3 linked regions of the Drosophila melanogaster genome follow. Changing the gene in region 2 together with the main gene of any one other region gives a genetic interaction. Each region holds a gene or a part of one and is shown on either strand. Other genes may lie near its edges.

The links.
Region 1: of prd1 (region 2) and Mical, changing one enhances a phenotype caused by changing the other (phenotypic enhancement), as found in Drosophila melanogaster (one study listed by BioGRID).
Region 3: of prd1 (region 2) and unc-104, changing one enhances a phenotype caused by changing the other (phenotypic enhancement), as found in Drosophila melanogaster (one study listed by BioGRID).

What each region holds. Positions count from the first base shown.
Region 1 is NT_033777.3:10,039,814-10,044,744, forward strand, and holds the start of Mical (molecule interacting with CasL), read right to left. Parts: upstream 3,083-4,931; 5' UTR 2,979-3,082; intron 2,186-2,978; exon of another isoform or gene 2,159-2,185; intron 1-2,158. Other genes in the region: CG3909 (uncharacterized protein), read left to right, coding at 3,534-3,536, 3,590-3,881, 3,953-4,191, 4,249-4,436, 4,491-4,764; CG11722 (uncharacterized protein), read right to left, coding at 4,814-4,931. UniProt on the Drosophila melanogaster protein: Monooxygenase that promotes depolymerization of F-actin by mediating oxidation of specific methionine residues on actin.
Region 2 is NT_033777.3:11,780,933-11,788,582, forward strand, and holds prd1 (pruning defect 1), read right to left. Parts: upstream 6,083-7,650; 5' UTR 5,691-6,082; intron 5,497-5,690; 5' UTR 5,437-5,496; coding exon 4,551-5,436; intron 4,482-4,550; coding exon 3,603-4,481; intron 3,533-3,602; coding exon 2,694-3,532; intron 2,639-2,693; coding exon 2,486-2,638; intron 2,427-2,485; coding exon 2,023-2,426; intron 1,968-2,022; coding exon 1,754-1,967; intron 1,701-1,753; coding exon 1,500-1,700; intron 1,439-1,499; coding exon 1,070-1,438; intron 1,008-1,069; coding exon 888-1,007; 3' UTR 199-887; downstream 1-198. Other genes in the region: HisCl1 (Histamine-gated chloride channel subunit 1), read left to right, coding at 6,650-6,762, 6,833-7,016, 7,090-7,399, 7,514-7,648.
Region 3 is NT_033778.4:16,762,919-16,767,590, forward strand, and holds the start of unc-104 (uncoordinated-104), read right to left. Parts: upstream 3,083-4,672; 5' UTR 2,915-3,082; exon of another isoform or gene 2,697-2,914; coding exon of another isoform or gene 2,472-2,696; exon of another isoform or gene 2,443-2,471; intron 1,457-2,442; 5' UTR 1,220-1,456; intron 423-1,219; 5' UTR 380-422; coding exon 280-379; intron 216-279; coding exon 133-215; intron 75-132; coding exon 1-74. Other genes in the region: CG42392 (uncharacterized protein), read right to left, coding at 2,472-2,696; CG5348 (uncharacterized protein), read left to right, coding at 3,951-4,261, 4,319-4,653. UniProt on the Drosophila melanogaster protein: Required for presynaptic maturation, has a role in axonal transport of dense-core vesicles carrying synaptic vesicle precursors, components required for the morphological transformation of axonal growth cones to mature boutons.

The DNA of each region.
Region 1 (4,931 bases), 1.7 Mb from region 2:
CAACTTGAAGAAAAAACTTCAAATACATAGAAGTACGAGTGTAAAAGATACTTGTCCTTGACCGTAAGTTTATCTAATTCGGCTGATATTTTATCACTGTCACAACGCAAAACATTGAACGATATCAATTTCCCATTTATGGGTTAATTGGGGGAAGAAAGGCAGATACGGGGATTCTACTCGAGTCGGGTTTGGAGCAATGTTTAATGGCTTTTCAAGTGCTTCTCAAAATGAGGAACCGAAGACCCTGCCTTCCACTTGCAGTTGCAAACGCATTGCGGTCATAAAGAGTGCACTTTATGGCATTCCACAAACAAAAGTCAAAGGTTTAAGGGGGCACAAAAATGGGAGTGTTTTACAGGAGTGACAGCAGTTAAAATATGTGAAAGTAATCTATACTTTCTAATTGGAACTATTCCTTACTTTAAGTTCATGATAGATTGGCTAATTGCAGAATATTTAAATAAATTTAGCACACAGATACATATTATTTATATTTTTCTGATCCCACATATTTAGTAAAAGGGGGAAAAAAAAAAACAACAAAAACGAGGCCCCAATTAGGGCCCAAATTAGGTGTTTTTCTCGAGGCTGAGGCTTAAAATAACATTCCAACCTTCGAAAGTGATAAAAGAGCCCAGCGTTGATTATTATAAATAGCAATGCTCCACCTATTATCTTATCTCTGGATTTAAATACACTTTTGGCCATGCCAAAGATCGGACCAGAAATATTTATTCAGTCAAGCAAAAAGTTTGGCTCTTCCACTGGAATCCAAATGGTGAGTACTTTCCCATTGTTCTTGTGCTTTTGCCAGTGCAATGTCATGACTTGACGCCATCACATTTTCATTTTCTGGGCTGCCTTGATTGGTGTAAAGAAAATTGCACCGACATCAGAACGCGATCTTAAAAGTCAATGCTCCTATATATTGCTCTTGTGACTGGGGGGTTCAACGAATGGCGATTATTCCAGCTATATTCTTATCAGAGGATGTTCGTGATTGCGACTCTCTTGGTAATTTCCATAGAGTTCAACCCGTACAATGGGTTTACAAATAGCACTATATATCATTTTATTCTTATTTTATCTTCATGTACTAAGCACTGTATATAATCTCAAAACAATCATTTGATTATCTACTTTGATAGATATTTCATGTAATTTACTGAATTTCTTTAAAATAATGTCATGGCTAATATGTCAAATCTTTTCGCTTACTTGACAATAATGTTCCCTGCTTTCTTGTTTGACTTTCTTTTGTTTTTGGAAAACTTCGGCACTTGTCATTGTCGGCTGCTGCCACGCCCTCCGTCACGCCCCTTACAATGATGTCACATTGCACAGACTCAAATTGCTCCAATTTCGCCCCCATTGCTTTTGACTATGTCACGCTTTTCCCAGCGAGCGCTTTTCCACACTTGACTTCGCATTTCCCCGCGATCTTGGAACCGCGGTATTCCCACCTCAACTAATAACTTTGTTGGTTTTCCATCCATTTTCCGAGTGCATTGCGCCTGGGCTTTGGCTTTTTCCGCAGTTTGCCACTGTTTCATTTTCTTTTTGCATGCCCTGGATTTCCATTTTGTCGTACTTGGTTTTTGCGCTGGTTTTTCTCGCCGATTGTGAAAAGTTGTGCACTAATGGCAGCTGTGAAATGCATTTATGTTTATGGTCTAGTTTTTCCATTCTTATTATTATTTTTTTTTTTTTTGACGCCTTTTGAGCACCTCTTAAGGGCAAACATTTATTCTTATCCTCCAGTCACATTAGTGCGAAGGCTAAGAGCAACCGTGATGGGTTTGCTTTGGAATTACGAATGGAAGTGGAGCAAAGCTGTGGGATTTAGAGTCATTTAACTTTACGGATCTTTAAGCGTCACTACTACTACCTAACTACCTTTCTTTCTATAGGACCATTTCATACCCTAGAAGACATCGTTTGCCTGTAGTATTGTTAAAATAAACGAATAACTAACTTTCATATACCAAATCTCAAGTAAAGAATGTTTTATGAAATGAATACACCTCTCTTAAGATATATGAATCCCAACATGTGTGAGAAAATTAACATAAAATACCGATAAGATTACATAAACATGCAAATCTTCCACTTCATCTTATAATATAGCATTATTGATCCCCGGCTGGCGACTCACCTTGATAATTTACAAATTCAGTTGGAACTGTTTGATTTATTCGAAAGGGTTTGCATATATCATTTTGAAAACGGCAAATTGCGATTATAATCGAAACAAAAGTGAGCAGAGGAAGAGAAGAAGAATAAGAGGAATGGCGATATTAGGGAGATAAAGTTGCACGCGAAAACCGGTTGCCGTTATTGTTTACACCAAATCGGAAACGAAGTTGTGGGGGCAGGCGCGAATATGAATGTTGTACGGAGGGGAAGAAGTGGAAACTGGGCGGAAAACGGAGAACGGGGAACGGGAAAGTGGGAATCAATAAAACAAACACACCACGAAAAACACATGGAAAGTGCAGCAAAACTATATGCCTTTCATTTCGGTTTAGTGCACAAATCGGCGAGTCCTGCTGCCACAAGAATGAATCATTCGAATCTTTTCGATTTTGTCGAAAGATATGATATGTGAGATAAATAATATGCTGATGCACAACCACACACACACTCGCACTCACGCTCACGCACACCCGCCCCCACACACACGAACGAACGAGGCTTCACTGTTTATGTTTATTAATATATTCCAGACACGCGGATCCATAGAAGAAAATCATACATATTCGAATTCACGGCGGCGACGACAGCAAAATGAAAAAAAATCGAAAACGAACCGAAAACTGAAAAGCAGAACACACGCGTTGGTCCTATTCGTTCCTTTGTTTTTGATATCGTATCGCGAGGGGCTAAGAACTATAACTATATCCGCATTATATAACCGCACTGGTAGATCCGGGCATGGCTGCACCGTGGGGCACGTAATTGCACCCGTCACTTACACTTTTCCTCGCCAGTCGCTTGGATCTCGCGTCCGAGTCGTTTGGGGATTTGTTTTTTAAAACGCGACGTTCGTTCCTCGGTTCTCGACGGCTATAAACAGTGTGGCCGCGCCGGGAGTGCAACTATAAGCCGATGGTGTGACCATGGCGGGAAAGTGGTATTATGCCGTGTGCCATATGGGCAAATATACCAAAACAATAAATAGCAATTCAAATAATTTAATATATAACATGTTTACTTAAAAACTAAGCTTTTTACCTAAATAAGTATAATAAAGATATAATAAAGTAAAATATTATTTTGTTATATATAATATTACCTGTGAAAAAATTTTAAAAACGTCAATTTGTTTTATACTTCTTTATTTCTTTCATTTATATAAAGAATTCCATGTTTAATTTATTCACATTGAAACATATTCAGCATAACAGTTTTGACCCACTGTAAACCTCCCTTTTCAATACTAATTCTAACGTCAACCATTGTTATCGATAACAGCTAATTTGCTGATCGCTCTCGTTCGCATAAAATAAACACTTTTCCGGCATTTTAAAATGGTAAGTAGATATTTAACGAACTGTGCCTTTTATACATCCCTTTTTTCCGCTAGTTTTCTGTCCTTCATAAAGAGGAAAATGCGCACGACAGTCAGCTATGGGCGTGCACCTGGGGACGCGACACTGCGGCCTCAGATCCGGATGACGCGGTCGTGGAGCCCGAGGAGAATCCCTTTGATTTCGATAAGAAGGAGGCCCGCCCGAAGGATTTCTTGGTCACCGGCGGACTGGATGACTTGGTAAAGGTGTGGGACTTGCAGGAGGACAACACCCTAAAGTTGCGCCACAAACTAAAAGGACATGCCCTGGGAGTTGTTTCTGTGGCCGTCAGTTCCGATGGACAGAGTAGGTTGAAAGATTCTGTACTTGGGAGATAGAGAAATGGACATCAATTAATGGTGCCGCCTTCCTTCCAGCCATTGCCAGTAGTTCTCTGGACTCCACCATGTGTTTGTGGGATGCCCGTTCGGGCGACAAGAAACACCTACTTAGCTTTGGGCCTGTTGATCTCTGGACGGTGCAATTTTCACCCTGCAACAAATATGTGATATCCGGACTGAACGACGGCAAAATCTCCATGTACAGTGTGGAAACCGGAAAGGCAGAGCAGACATTGGATGCCCAAAATGGGAAATACACGCTTAGCATTGCCTACGTAAGCTTTATCTGGTAAATAACCCATTTTGAGAATCCTATAGCTGTATTATTCTAGAGTCCCGATGGCAAGTACATTGCCAGTGGAGCCATCGATGGTATCATTACCATTTTCGATGTGGCCGCGGGCAAGGTAGTGCAAACATTGGAAGGACACGCGATGCCAGTGCGTAGCCTTTGCTTTTCTCCGAACTCGCAGCTGCTGCTCACTGCCTCAGATGATGGTCACATGAAGCTTTATGATGTGTAAGTGGCTTAACACCTATGACATTTTCAGGCACTACTATCTCCTCGTTTTAGAACCCACTCCGACGTTGTGGGCACCCTATCTGGGCACGCATCTTGGGTGCTGTGCGTGGCATTCTCCGAGGACGGCAAACACTTTGCCAGCTCCTCCAGTGATAACAGCGTGAAAATATGGGACACCTCGGAACGCAAGTGCCTGCACACGTTCGCCGAGCACACAGATCAGGTGTGGGGCGTCCGATATAGCCCCGGAAACGACAAGGTGGCCTCTGCTTCTGAGGACAAGTCCCTGAACATATACTACTGTCCGCCCAATGCCATTGTTTGATTTCATACAATAGAGCGTAGGTTTAAAACAAAGAACAAGAATGATTTATTTACGGATTACCCTCCGAGCTCGATTTAACCCGCAGAAGGGGCTGCGTGGCTTGAGTTAGCATCGTGTCTTTGTACTTCTGGTCGGGTATGTACATATTAAAAGTTTTAAAGTAGTGC
Region 2 (7,650 bases):
GTTTCCTTATTCAGCATCCTCTCCAGACCCCCACTCCATCTCCCCCACACTCATTCGGAATATAGGGTCCCACACAGCATAAACCCGACTTAGAGCCCAGAAAACCCTTTCCTCTGTAAACCCTTTCACCACTTGCAATTATTGAAAATGTCAAGGACCATCAGCGAGCTCAGAATAAATAAAAATTCGTTTTGTAATGGCGTTTATTGGTTTTATTAATTATCATGAGCTTTTAGTGGGCTGAAAGGCTTACAGCGAAATGTCGGGCGTTGGGAGGGGAATTTAATCTATGCTAATTGAAAAGGAGAGGCACAGCATTGCAAAATAAGATTAAGTCCACCATGCACACTTTTCCTAATACACATTTATAAATGTTTGTTTTGTTTATTTTATAAATAGCCACATATTGTTTGTCGTATATCATATGGATATGATCCTTGGACCAAAAGAGCACCCCCAAAACATAACATTACCGATTGATTACATGTCCAATATTCGTATAAGTTAGATTATGTATAATATTTTGTTTCTTATTATCTGTGCAATATTTGTACACAATGTATTTATAAAAGGTAAGAAATAACGAATGTAGAAAATCAATAGAAACTAAATATCCTACAAAAGAGCATACCAAAGATCAGCGACTTTAAGTTTAATATCACAAAAATTATTCAAATGAGATGTTACTAAGCGCAAACGAATGAATGAGTCAAGCGGAGGCACGCATTACAAAATCATAATACATAATACATACAGACTATATAAATATCAATACTTTTTGTTCTTTAGCTATTTGAGTATTCAGGATAGAATATTTAACGCTTGAGTAATGTATATGGAAATATAATTTTCTATTTGTAAATGGAGTATATATGGCCAGAGCCACGTTAACCCAGCGCAGCTGATAGCAAAGGCTCCCAGGCCCTATTTGTGTCCATATAAAGTTTATTATATTGCTCGGCCAGAGAGTCACCGTCGTCTAGTATGGTTATTGGAAATAGATCGTTCTGTAAAATTAGAATATTTCGTTATTGCTAAGGAAAGGTTTAGTAGTCAACGAGAAACATACATTCTTAGACTGCCAAAGCTGCTCTAGCAACCGCAGGAAACGTTGCATTTCCATGCTGCTGGCAAAGAATATAACCAAATCGTCCTGGTTTTCCAATGGTGCCTCCTGGCAGGAGAACTCCAGAATGCACCACCAAGTCTCGCTCCGCGAGGTTATCTTAATGCCAGTCATCTCTTTGATGTCCGCACAAGTTAGTATGGCTAAACCGGAGTTCTTTCCGTAAACACTGGTCATTCTTTGTGATTTTTCCGGCGAAGCTACAGTTTCTTTCGGAGCTGCATCTTCGTTTGTTTGCTTAGTAGGCGTAGAGCTTAACGAGGAATATGAATGTTGAGTGCCACGGGTAGGAGTACTAATGGTGGAACCCATCTAAAATTTTAAGTCCAAATGATTACGAAGTTTGATTTGCTAATACAATAAGCGCACTTACTAAGCTACTGGTTTCAAAAACACTGAGCATATCCTCCTCAAGCATGGTTTCTTTATTTCCCTGAACGGCTGCATTGTTATCCGCCTGCTGGCTTATTTTTCGTAGAGGAGCCGAAAAGTCTTCACGCAGGGTTATTAAATGGTTATCCGTGACGATCAACGTGCATCCAAGGGTTTTGTGCTTCTCCTCTTGAACCACAAGCTAAACACAACAAAAAGTTAAAACAAATCTTCTAATATTAATTGTCTACTTACGCCACTGGCTGATTGCAAAAGAGCCTGGAGCCACTCGGAGGCTACATACTCGTCGGGCGCAGCCATTTGCAGGACTTCGCCCTTTAGCGTAATCTCGAAGCAGTGGGGGCGCTCTGATTTCACAGTTCGCCGGGCGCCCTGACACTCGGCGAGGGCCATGGCCCAGCTGGGAAGCCTTTGGGTGGAATCGTTGAACATATACAATACGCCAGCTCTAAGAAATGAACACATATTAAATTGAATTCCTTCAAATATCGAGAGTTACGAACTTCAGTAAAAAGTATCCTGGTTGCCAAAATATTCTGTTCGCTGCTGAAGTGCTGATCGTCTGCCTAAGTCTTCGATGCATGAGGAATCCCTTCATTGAAGGTCCCAGCAGTTCGCTTGGCGATTCGACTCTCATTGACCCTCCAGCTGGCACATTAACCACTGCATAGAGCATCCAATGTTCTGCTACGCCAACACAGCTGTTGGCACGCACAAAAGCCTGCAGTGGAGCCAAATGTTCTAGAGTCAGCTGACCAACTGCAGGCAGAGTGGATCCACTGCGTCGGGCACACAACTCCAGGTTGGCTACCAGGGATCCGGCTGGATACGGACCACCCGCGAGCAGGACCTGCTGCATGTCTCGATTACTGTTGCTGAGCAAAACTGTGTTGCCAAAAGGTCCCATCTAAAAAATGATGTTGCATTAACTAATATATCACAGCAATGTCATCCGTTAACATTTACCAGTATGACATCCAAGTCCTTGTAGGCCAAAACAAACTTGACACACAGACTATTTCCTTCCATATTCACCACATACAGAGTTTTATCAGTGAGTAGGACAAGTACAGGTGTCATGATGCCATCTACATTGTAGCCTGTATACAGTTTGAAAGCCTGAAATGATAAGTTTTTATAATTGATTGCTATTTGCTACACAATTACAATCTACCTTCATTAGCTGCTCATTTGATTGTTTCAGATTGAACAAGGACTTTCCTTTGAATACATCAATTGAGATCTCCCCAATGCCAAGTTCGAAATTGGACAAGTTGCCTTGGAAATCGTTATCCAAACTAATGGCAAGTTCCCGTCGCGGCGAATTCGTGCCACACATCTCAATCTCCATGGCAATCTCTGCATTTAAGTCATCTATAAGCTCGTAGTTCTTTGGCCGAGCACCCTTCACATACAGATCGGATCCGGCATGCCTCTGTTCGGTTCTCAATTTATCGGCAAAGAAATTGTTCTTGCGTATGGAGGTTTCCATTATTTTCTTCTGTGTGACATTACGAAGGAACCTATTTATAAGTGAAGTTTTGGCCGCCGGAGCTGGCGGCTTCAGTAAGTGAGCATAGTCCACATCTGTGTAGTCTACGATGACCAAATCGCTGTCCATTGAGCGCGCATTAGTTGTATCTGTAGTGGTTATAGTTAGTATGTCGTCAAACTCTTCGCTGAGAATAGTGCTCTTTGAGTCGCGACCACTACCTCCTGGTCCTCCGCGTCCAGCGGCTAGGTAGGCACTGGGGCTGTGGAGGCTCCGACTTTGGTGAGGATGCTGTTGGTCGTAGTAACGGGGCGGCTGTAAGGGTTGTCCACGCTTCTTGAGCGGTGAAGGAAGGTGTCGAGACTGACGCTCCGCGTTGCCCAGCTGCGGATTCATTGCGATTTGATGGTTGCTGCTGGTGTTGGTGTTCGAACTAGGTTCGGATATGGTTGATGAGGAAAAGTTGCGCTGAAGTTTGCCCGCGGCTGGTGCTTGTTGCTGCGGCTTAGCGATTTTTGAAGCTATATAAGCATAATGAACAGTGTTAGTCATCGGGGAAAATATTAATTCAAATGAATATTATTTGCTCACCAAAATAGTTATCTGTGACTGCTTGCTCGTCCTTTGCAACTGGTGTGCTGTCTTTGAAGCTTCGAAAGAAATTACTAAACGTCTTGGCAATGGGAGCATCCAAAAATGATTTCTTAATTTGACTAGCGGCCGGCTCTGCGATGGGAGTGTTTTGCTCGAGCAGACTGGCTACACTGGTGTGCTGAATACCGGATGAGAGTTCGGATTGCAGATCCCCCGTCTCGTAGGATACTCCGGTGTGTTCGAAAACAGTGCTCTCACAATTAATTATAAACTTGCTGCGGAACTCGCCCTGTGCGCTGCCCATTGGCACTGTTTCCTTATCGAATTCCTCTTGGCGATGCAACATCAGTGACTGTTTTGACTCCATCGGCGAGGCTTCCGTGGAGCTGGCACCATCGTCTTCGTTCTTATGCCGCAATTGCTCATCAACGTTGTGCACGAATTTCTTAACTGGTTGTGCCTGCTTGCTGCCGTCGAGACTCTTGCTGAGGAATGGCTTAGCTCTAAGAGGCGGTGACTCGGCCGCCGGCCGCGATTTGTGCTCTGGTGTCTGTTCCAGCTCAGGGACGCATTCCACCACCGCCTGCAGGTCTTCGGAGCCCTCGGGAACTCCGCGCTCCGGCAATGGCATGGTAAAGATGCTCTTTAGCGATCCAAATATCATCTTGCTACTGTTGTCGAGCAGTTGGTGCTTAATGTCGTGCACGTTAAACTTTTTTACCCGCCCATTGAGATCCTGCTCGAGTATGACATTTGTATGTAGCTTAGTTTTCTTTAAGCAGCTTGATTTCGGCTTCTTCTCCTTATTCCATACGGACTTGACTTTGGGACTGTCAGCATCTCCGATATTGGGCTCTGAATAGTAGCAATTGTCACCTAATTGTGGGATAAAGATTAATGTGGATATACATCACAAGGATTTAAGCAGAATGTTATATAGCTTACCGATTAGATTGTTGTTAGCATTGCTCATACCAATGCAATCACATGAGCTGCTCTTAGCCTGCTCGTACTGCTTACAATTCGCATTGGAATTTTTGTCTTGTTCGTCGGAATCCAAACTGGAGTTGGAACTGCTGCACACGCACTTGTAAAGTTGGGGTTGCTCTTCCTGTTTTTGGGTCGCAGGGCCGTACTCAAAGACACCTGAGGTGTCATAGTGCAGACCGGGCGCCTCGTCCGTGTCAAAAATGTTGTCGTAGTCCAGCACATCCGAGCAGGCATTTCGGTAGACCAGATGTCTCTTTCGCCTGGCACCTCCGCCACCGGTAGCCTCCTCGCCATCGTCTTCCCTGCCAGCGGCACTGAGTTCATTAGGTCCCTCCGGACGTTCCCGATCCGGACACCAGGAATATCGTCCTGGAGCGCCGGCCACGCCCGCTGAGTTAGCGAAGGCCAACTTGCGTCCGTTCTTGTAGGTGATAAAGCCATGCTCAATGTGAATGTTGTCGGTACGAGTGTTCTTCAGTATGTCCTCGTGGAAGGACACTCGCTTTTTGGGAGTTTTGGAGGCGGACGAAGCTTTGTGCACTTTGCGACGGTATACAATCTTCTCCGTGGTGTCGAACGTAGAGCACTCGCTAATGGTCATAGACTCATCCGGCGCTGCAGTCACATTGGAGTTGGGATCCACCAAAGGGAGGGGCATCGGTCTAACGTTTTCCTCGTAGGAGCAAATGGACTCCACCATCACATCGCTGTTTTCCGAGTCCAGGAGTTGTACTCCCGAATCGCTGGGCGTGGTGTCCTCCATGGTGCTGCTGTTCAAGCTGGAGCTCATCTTGTCCATGCCCAAATTGTTGTTGGCCTTGGGCAACAGAGGTGATTCCATGGTCGTTTCGATTTTCGCACTTGTCAAGAGTTATCTACGCAGTGATTTTCGTCTATTAACCTACGGAAAATTGTAAAAGTCGGTAAACCATTATTTGTGTATCTCGGCGTTCTTGCTATTAATCAATATCCACAAGTTGCACAATGCGCCGCAGCAAATCGCGCCAGTGCACAAAGGAAAATGACCCCTGACCCAGCACCCCCTTGAAAATCGCACCGGGATTAAATTCACACACCGCTGCTTCTGTCACTCACCTGCGATTGTATCGCAGGATTCCATGTTACTGTCGATCTGGGTGGTTTACGTTTCCTTTTACGCTTGCTTTAAGAGTTTTATGTGCAGATTTATCGCCACTTGTACATTTTAGAATTGCCAAAAAAAAACGTCTTGGCAAGTGAAACAATCAATATTTTGACCTCATAGAGTTGCCAGTTCCGCGAACAGCTGATTGCGCGCCAGAGCTGCCAGATAAGAGAAGAGGTTGGCAACGCGGCCTGTTACAGCAACGGGAAGTTCCGGTTTTCAAATAATATTTTTGTAAATTTTAAAATTCAACAATTATTTAACACATTATGTAAAATGTTCCTGAAGAGTTAATTCAATTTTAAGACAAGTTTGTATTCGGCTTTTATTTAAAATATTGTAGAGCACGTATTTGCATTTCAAGAAAATTGGGATTTAAAGTTAAGAGCAAACCCAGAACAGTTTGTGAAAACGTACTTCGAAAGCAAATGCCGGAACATGCCGATAAACCCATTTTTGACATCGACAGTTGGCGCCCAGTTCGCTTGTTTCGCGCAGTCAAACGGTTTTTCATATTTCACAGATATTATTCGCAAATACAGAGTGGACATTTAAATTAATGCCCTTGTCAGTGGGTGCGAACATCATTTCCTCTTTGCCATTTCGCTAACCGGGGTCAGTTGTCAATTTGAAAAGTAGTGTAGTGTGGGCGAATGCCAATGAAAGCGAATGAAACCTTAGAAATCAATTTATCACACTTTGCAGCACATCACAATCGTCGCGATAACTCTGCCGTTTCTTTATTGGTTTTTGCTGCGCGACGAGTAAAATATAATTCCTCGCTTACTAATCCTCCGAGCAAGTTCATTCTCAAGCGCACCCAGAGATGAGCTACTTTGGGAATTGACATGGACTGCGGAGCAATGAGTGCCAGAGGAACAATATCAAAGCCGAAGGTAGTGTGTTCATAATGCAAAGCCCAACTAGCAAATTGGTAGAATTCAGGTGCCTGATTGCGTTGGCAATATATTTGCACGCGCTGGAGCAATCGATCCAGCACTGCCATTGTGTTCATGGTTACAGGTGAGTCCGAGTGCGTTTGCCCAGTTTCATCAGATTTACGCCACAGGGCTGTTCTGTTCCACATATGCAGAAATAACACGGAGAGCGCCGAGCTGGTCTCCCACTACGAGTCGAGTCTTTCGCTCCCGGACATTTTGCCCATTCCCTCAAAGACGTACGACAAGAACCGGGCTCCCAAGCTCCTCGGCCAGCCCACAGTAGTCTACTTCCATGTCACGGTCCTCTCCCTGGACTCCATTAACGAGGAGTCTATGGTCAGTAGAATGTGTTCATCTTTTCAATACTCATCACTCAGCAAACACTAATTGGCTTATCATGCTCCTTTAGACCTATGTGACGGACATCTTCCTTGCACAAAGCTGGCGTGATCCTCGCCTGCGGTTGCCTGAGAACATGAGTGAGCAGTATCGCATATTGGATGTCGACTGGTTGCACAGCATTTGGCGGCCCGATTGCTTCTTTAAGAACGCCAAAAAGGTCACCTTCCATGAGATGAGCATTCCCAATCACTATCTCTGGCTGTACCACGACAAAACGCTGCTCTATATGTCCAAACTCACGTTGGTCCTGTCGTGCGCCATGAAGTTTGAGTCCTATCCGCATGACACGCAAATCTGCTCCATGATGATCGAGAGTTGTAGGTGGAAATGTAATGGTTATCTACACCCTGCAAATCCCGTATCGCTTGGAACTTTCCATTCCGCTTCTCGAATTACAAATAATCTGTGTTGAACCGAGTTTTGATTGGCAGTATCCCATACGGTGGAAGATTTGGTTTTCATTTGGAACATGACCGACCCACTTGTGGTTAACACGGAGATTGAGTTGCCGCAGCTAGACATATCAAATAACTACACAACCGACTGTACTATAGAGTACTCAACAGGT
Region 3 (4,672 bases), on a different chromosome or scaffold from region 2:
AAGGAGTGCTGTAACATCTCCTCGCCAATGTCCTTGTACACCATCGATTGTGTGGAGAAATCGGCATCGTGGTGCTGTGATGCGAATATAAATTTAAGTAAAATTTTTTCTTGGACTCGAAATAAAACTTACATCATGTGACCAGTAGGAGTAATCAAAGTTGAAGCGCTTTACTGAATCGCTTGTGTTGGGCGGCACCTTTGGATTGGTGATGGCTGTCAGGACATAAGATTGAAGTATTTAATTAAGAGAAATCTAGAGTGTTTATGGGATTCTCACCCGTTGTGGCTCCTGCCATCTCGATGATGCATTTCGACTCCCTGGCTATTTCGCGCGAGTTGAAGGGGCGCACTCGCACCGCCACCTTAACCGACGACATCTTGTCCTTCTTCCTCTCTGTGGGTGTCCTGGTTTCCGGTTAACTGGAGTGGAAATAGAGGAACGGGAATACTTTATAGACATTCGAGTCATTCGAGTGGGCTGCAAATTGGCCAGAGACTACCACTGCCCAGCACTGACATTTTATAATTGCCCCAACTTTATGGTTATACACTCGTCCACGATTTGTTTCTGTGGCAGCTCGAAGCTATGAGTCATACCCCCGGCAACTCGCCAGGGAAATTTGAATTGAAGCCAGGGGTGGGGCTAAGAATTTATTATTTGCTGTCCTATATGTGCAATACGTCGAAGACTAAGCCGGGTACATTGCCAACTATTTTATAATACAAATTTCTTATAAAACAATAGACGTTAAGGATTGAAGATTTATTGCTTTCGAAACATTCTAGGTGAGTTCTCTTTCTCCTCTTTTTTTTTAATAAGAAGTGATACAGTTAAAGAAAGTTAAAAATTCTTTATAATTTTGTTAGATTTTAGGTTTGTTTTTCAGTAGTTTTATCACTTATCGTAATGGATTTTAATGCAAATAGTTTTCCCTCTAGTTTTTACCCTCTGACTCACACACACGCACACACACTCACACACTTGAAGCAGGGGGAAAAATTCCACAATCCACAAATGCTTCCAATAAAAGCGCAGACGAGTGTCGGCCAATAGTCGAATGAGTCATCGAGCAAATACAAGAGGCAGAATAAAGAAAAGTACTCACACCCCACAAAAGAAAGAAAGGACCCTTTAAAGGCGATGCATAACGCGTATTTTCAATATATTTCTTAACTTTGTTAAAACAAATAACTACCATTTATGGAGATTAAATTACCTTTAGTTTAGGCCAAACGATTGCTGGCTTATTGGGCGGCTATATCCTTAAAGCTCATTATAGCATAAGTTGTAAGGAATCGATTGCACTTATGTGTGATTTGATTTTTAGTTAATGTTTGATAAGGTAAAATTTGTTTTTTTTTTCGTTTGTCACTCTTTGCTTTATTTATTAACTTTCTAGTGGTAAATTCACTTGACCAACTGAGAAATTCTTTCACTCGCGTACACTAGCGTCCTGAAATATTGTGAAACCAAGTTTAGAAGCCATTCCAATGCGCAGCTGTGAGAATTGCTCTCTCTTTCCTGTCCTTTCTCTCTCTCTCTTTGTTTACCTGACCAAAATACTTTTGTTTATGTTTTTTTTTTGTTCTTTCAATTTTCCGAACAAACTGTCAAAGCAAATGTGCAACAGCCTGCAGTAAAAAGTCTCCACAGGAAGATTTGCGCAGAAGCGCGAGACAGGAGAAATGTGGAGAGAAGACAGAGAAAGGCGAGAGTATATATAGAGAGTGTGGGAGCGAAAGTGGGATAGGATATGCTAAATATTTGTGTAATGTATTTTATTTATTTTTTGTATGATATGCAGACTGACGCTGGTTGAAGGCGCACGAAACGATAAAAGAACGACTATAAGAAATTAAAATCAGGCTATATCCTTTTCGAGAATGTCCACTTCTCAACGTCCTTAGCTCGTTTTACCTGGCCAGGCTCTTGAAAATTTATTCGTCACACAGTCAACCCTCATTTGCACTTGAGAAACGAACTAAGCACTCGAGGTCCTTTGCAATACCACGCTTTTGTTGCCTTCTGCGTCATATTTTTTATGGCTTCCTGCGGGGCAACACGGCGGGCACTTAATACCGTATGCAGGACCTCTCACCACACTCATATGCGCGCCCCGTCTCATTCGTGGGTAATATCCTTGCGTTCGCTTGCGTTCTTCTTGACCTTTATTAATAAATTTTCAAGTTGCCTTTGCCATGGACACCGAGCCAGGAAATCTCTACACTCTACACACACTATGCACACTACTCTGGAGGCCACTGTACACTAGATGATGGGGGGGGGCAAAAATTAGCGAATCAAAATTATGTAAAACGTAATTATGGGCTATGTTTTATCGAGAATTTTGAAATGTTCGGTCGAGCGAATTGATGAAATTTTGCAAATATATTTTGAAGCATTTACCAATTGATTTTCTGTTTCGTTTTATTATTTTTCGGGGCATTATACTCATTAACCCATGGAACTCAAAATATTTTCTGTTTTAGGAACATTTGTGGTTGTTGCTGATAGTCCGTTGGTTGTTGTTGTTGCTGCATTTCTTGGTCTGGCTGGTGTTCTTGTGTGTAATTGAATACTAGTACAAAGCTATCCAACATGGATCGCTTGGAGGTAGTGGCGAATATAATGGACAGCACCAGAATTGTTGTTAACAATAGGGCGAAAAACAATAGGTAACCAAAAGCGCACATTCGCGTAGTTTCTTCTTCTTGACTTGGCTAAAGGATTTTTGAATATATATTATATATATATGTAGGCTCTCGTATATGTGTATATATGTGTAGGGGTCTGTCTTTCTGTATAACAGCGAAAAATTTTCACTCCTTTTTTTGGGGGACAAATAATTGATAAAGTTTTAGTTTGCCACTGTATCGAATTGTTTTAATTTGAAACTTGTTAGTTGCTTTACTTGGCTGCGCTTTGTTTAAACGGTTGGGCAACTTTTCGCTGATGAAAACTCTGAGCTTTTCTGCACAAAATCGATGGCCAGTCAGCGGAAGGCCTTAGGAAATGAAATTCGCGCACGACTCTCGAGACCAGAACGAACTGCACCCGTTAAGGGTAGACGACACAGTGAGCAGTTCTGGGAAAGTTCAGAGGATACGACGACCAGCCCACCAGCAGGACGCATGCGCCGCAATCGGGGTACAAAACTGGAAGAACAGCAACCGTGTGGGCTGTATGGTATATATGGGTATGCGAAAATTTTTTTTTTTATAAATTTCATACACATAGCGTAAAAGGTCCGCAATAACAAAACGACCGTCTGTCATCCGCGGGCACAAGGAATTTCATTATTAGCGCAAGGTGTCCACTTTTTCGGACGGCCACTGTGGCAGACCCCCAATTTTCCCCGATGTTTGATCTTATTATGAGCCATTTCACATATCGCTGCCGGCACAGTGGCTATAGCGACGGCTTTATCCACCAGCTGATGACGTAAAGTGAATTCTTTTTATTGATTTCCCATCGCACCGAGACGCAGGACAAGCTTTGGCTTTTTATGTTACGCGGTAGTCGGTAATCGGTAGTAGGTATTTGTATACTATGTATATATTCTACGGCGTAATTACATTGACATTGAAATCTGACGGCGAGGCTGGGAGGGCAGTAAAAAGTTGGAGGTTTTGGCTTTGGTAGGGAAATGTTAAAGAATGGGGCTTGGTAAAAGAATGTGCTGGAAGCTGGACGTCCTCATCTGTGGGGAATCTTTCATCATTACATTTAACTTTTTTTTAATTATGAAGTTTACAAGCTTAACAAGTGGTTTAAAGTGCAAAAAAAAAAATACAAGTATTATCATCGAAAACAGCGATTGTAGCCGGAATTAATTGTTGAATTAGTTTTTTCTGATAGCTCTTAGGAAATCAAAGTAATCCCAGAACTAGTTTCACTTTTACCCAATTCAACGCCAAGATTTCGGACTACAAACAAGTAAAACTAAAATGCCGGCCATCGACACAAAAACAACCAAATCCGATGTTTTTACCGTGAAAAACGCGTTGGATGCGGAATTCGACAATTTTTGGAAAACGGTTAGCTGTTTTGCGGCCAACAACTTTCCGTTCGAGGAGCGATGTGAGTTCGTACAGAAAGCGGAGGACTGCAATTCGAGCACAAATGTAATTCCATACATGAGACTCTTGGCCTGCGATCTGAAGTGTATCAATCAGTTCCAGGAAATGATCTTCATCGCCTTGTTCGTGGCGTTTTGCTTTCAGATATTGGTTCTACTAATTTACACAATCAATGTTTAGTAAGTAGCTAACTAAAGCGAAGATTAAAATTGAGCTTGAAATGCTTGCTTTTGCAGCTATAGTCCTGCTCTGAAGGCCGTATCCCGATTCCTTCATATGAACGAGCATTTGGCGGGAGTTACCCTGATGGCATTTGGAAACACTTCTGCCGATTTTTTCGCCAACTTGGCCAGCGTTGAACGACATGTCCCTGTGTTTGCCAATAACTTGTCGTCAGCCCTGTTTGTGATTACGATTTCCGGTGGCCTAATATTCTACATTTCGCCCTTCAAGATGAATTCCTACGAAACTGTCCGGGACATTTTATTTCTTCTCTTAGCGACTTTATTGATGGATTACTTTGCATACACGACAAACCATTTCGCATTGGGCTATGAATTTAAATTTTTCAGTAAGCATAATAGCCCAAG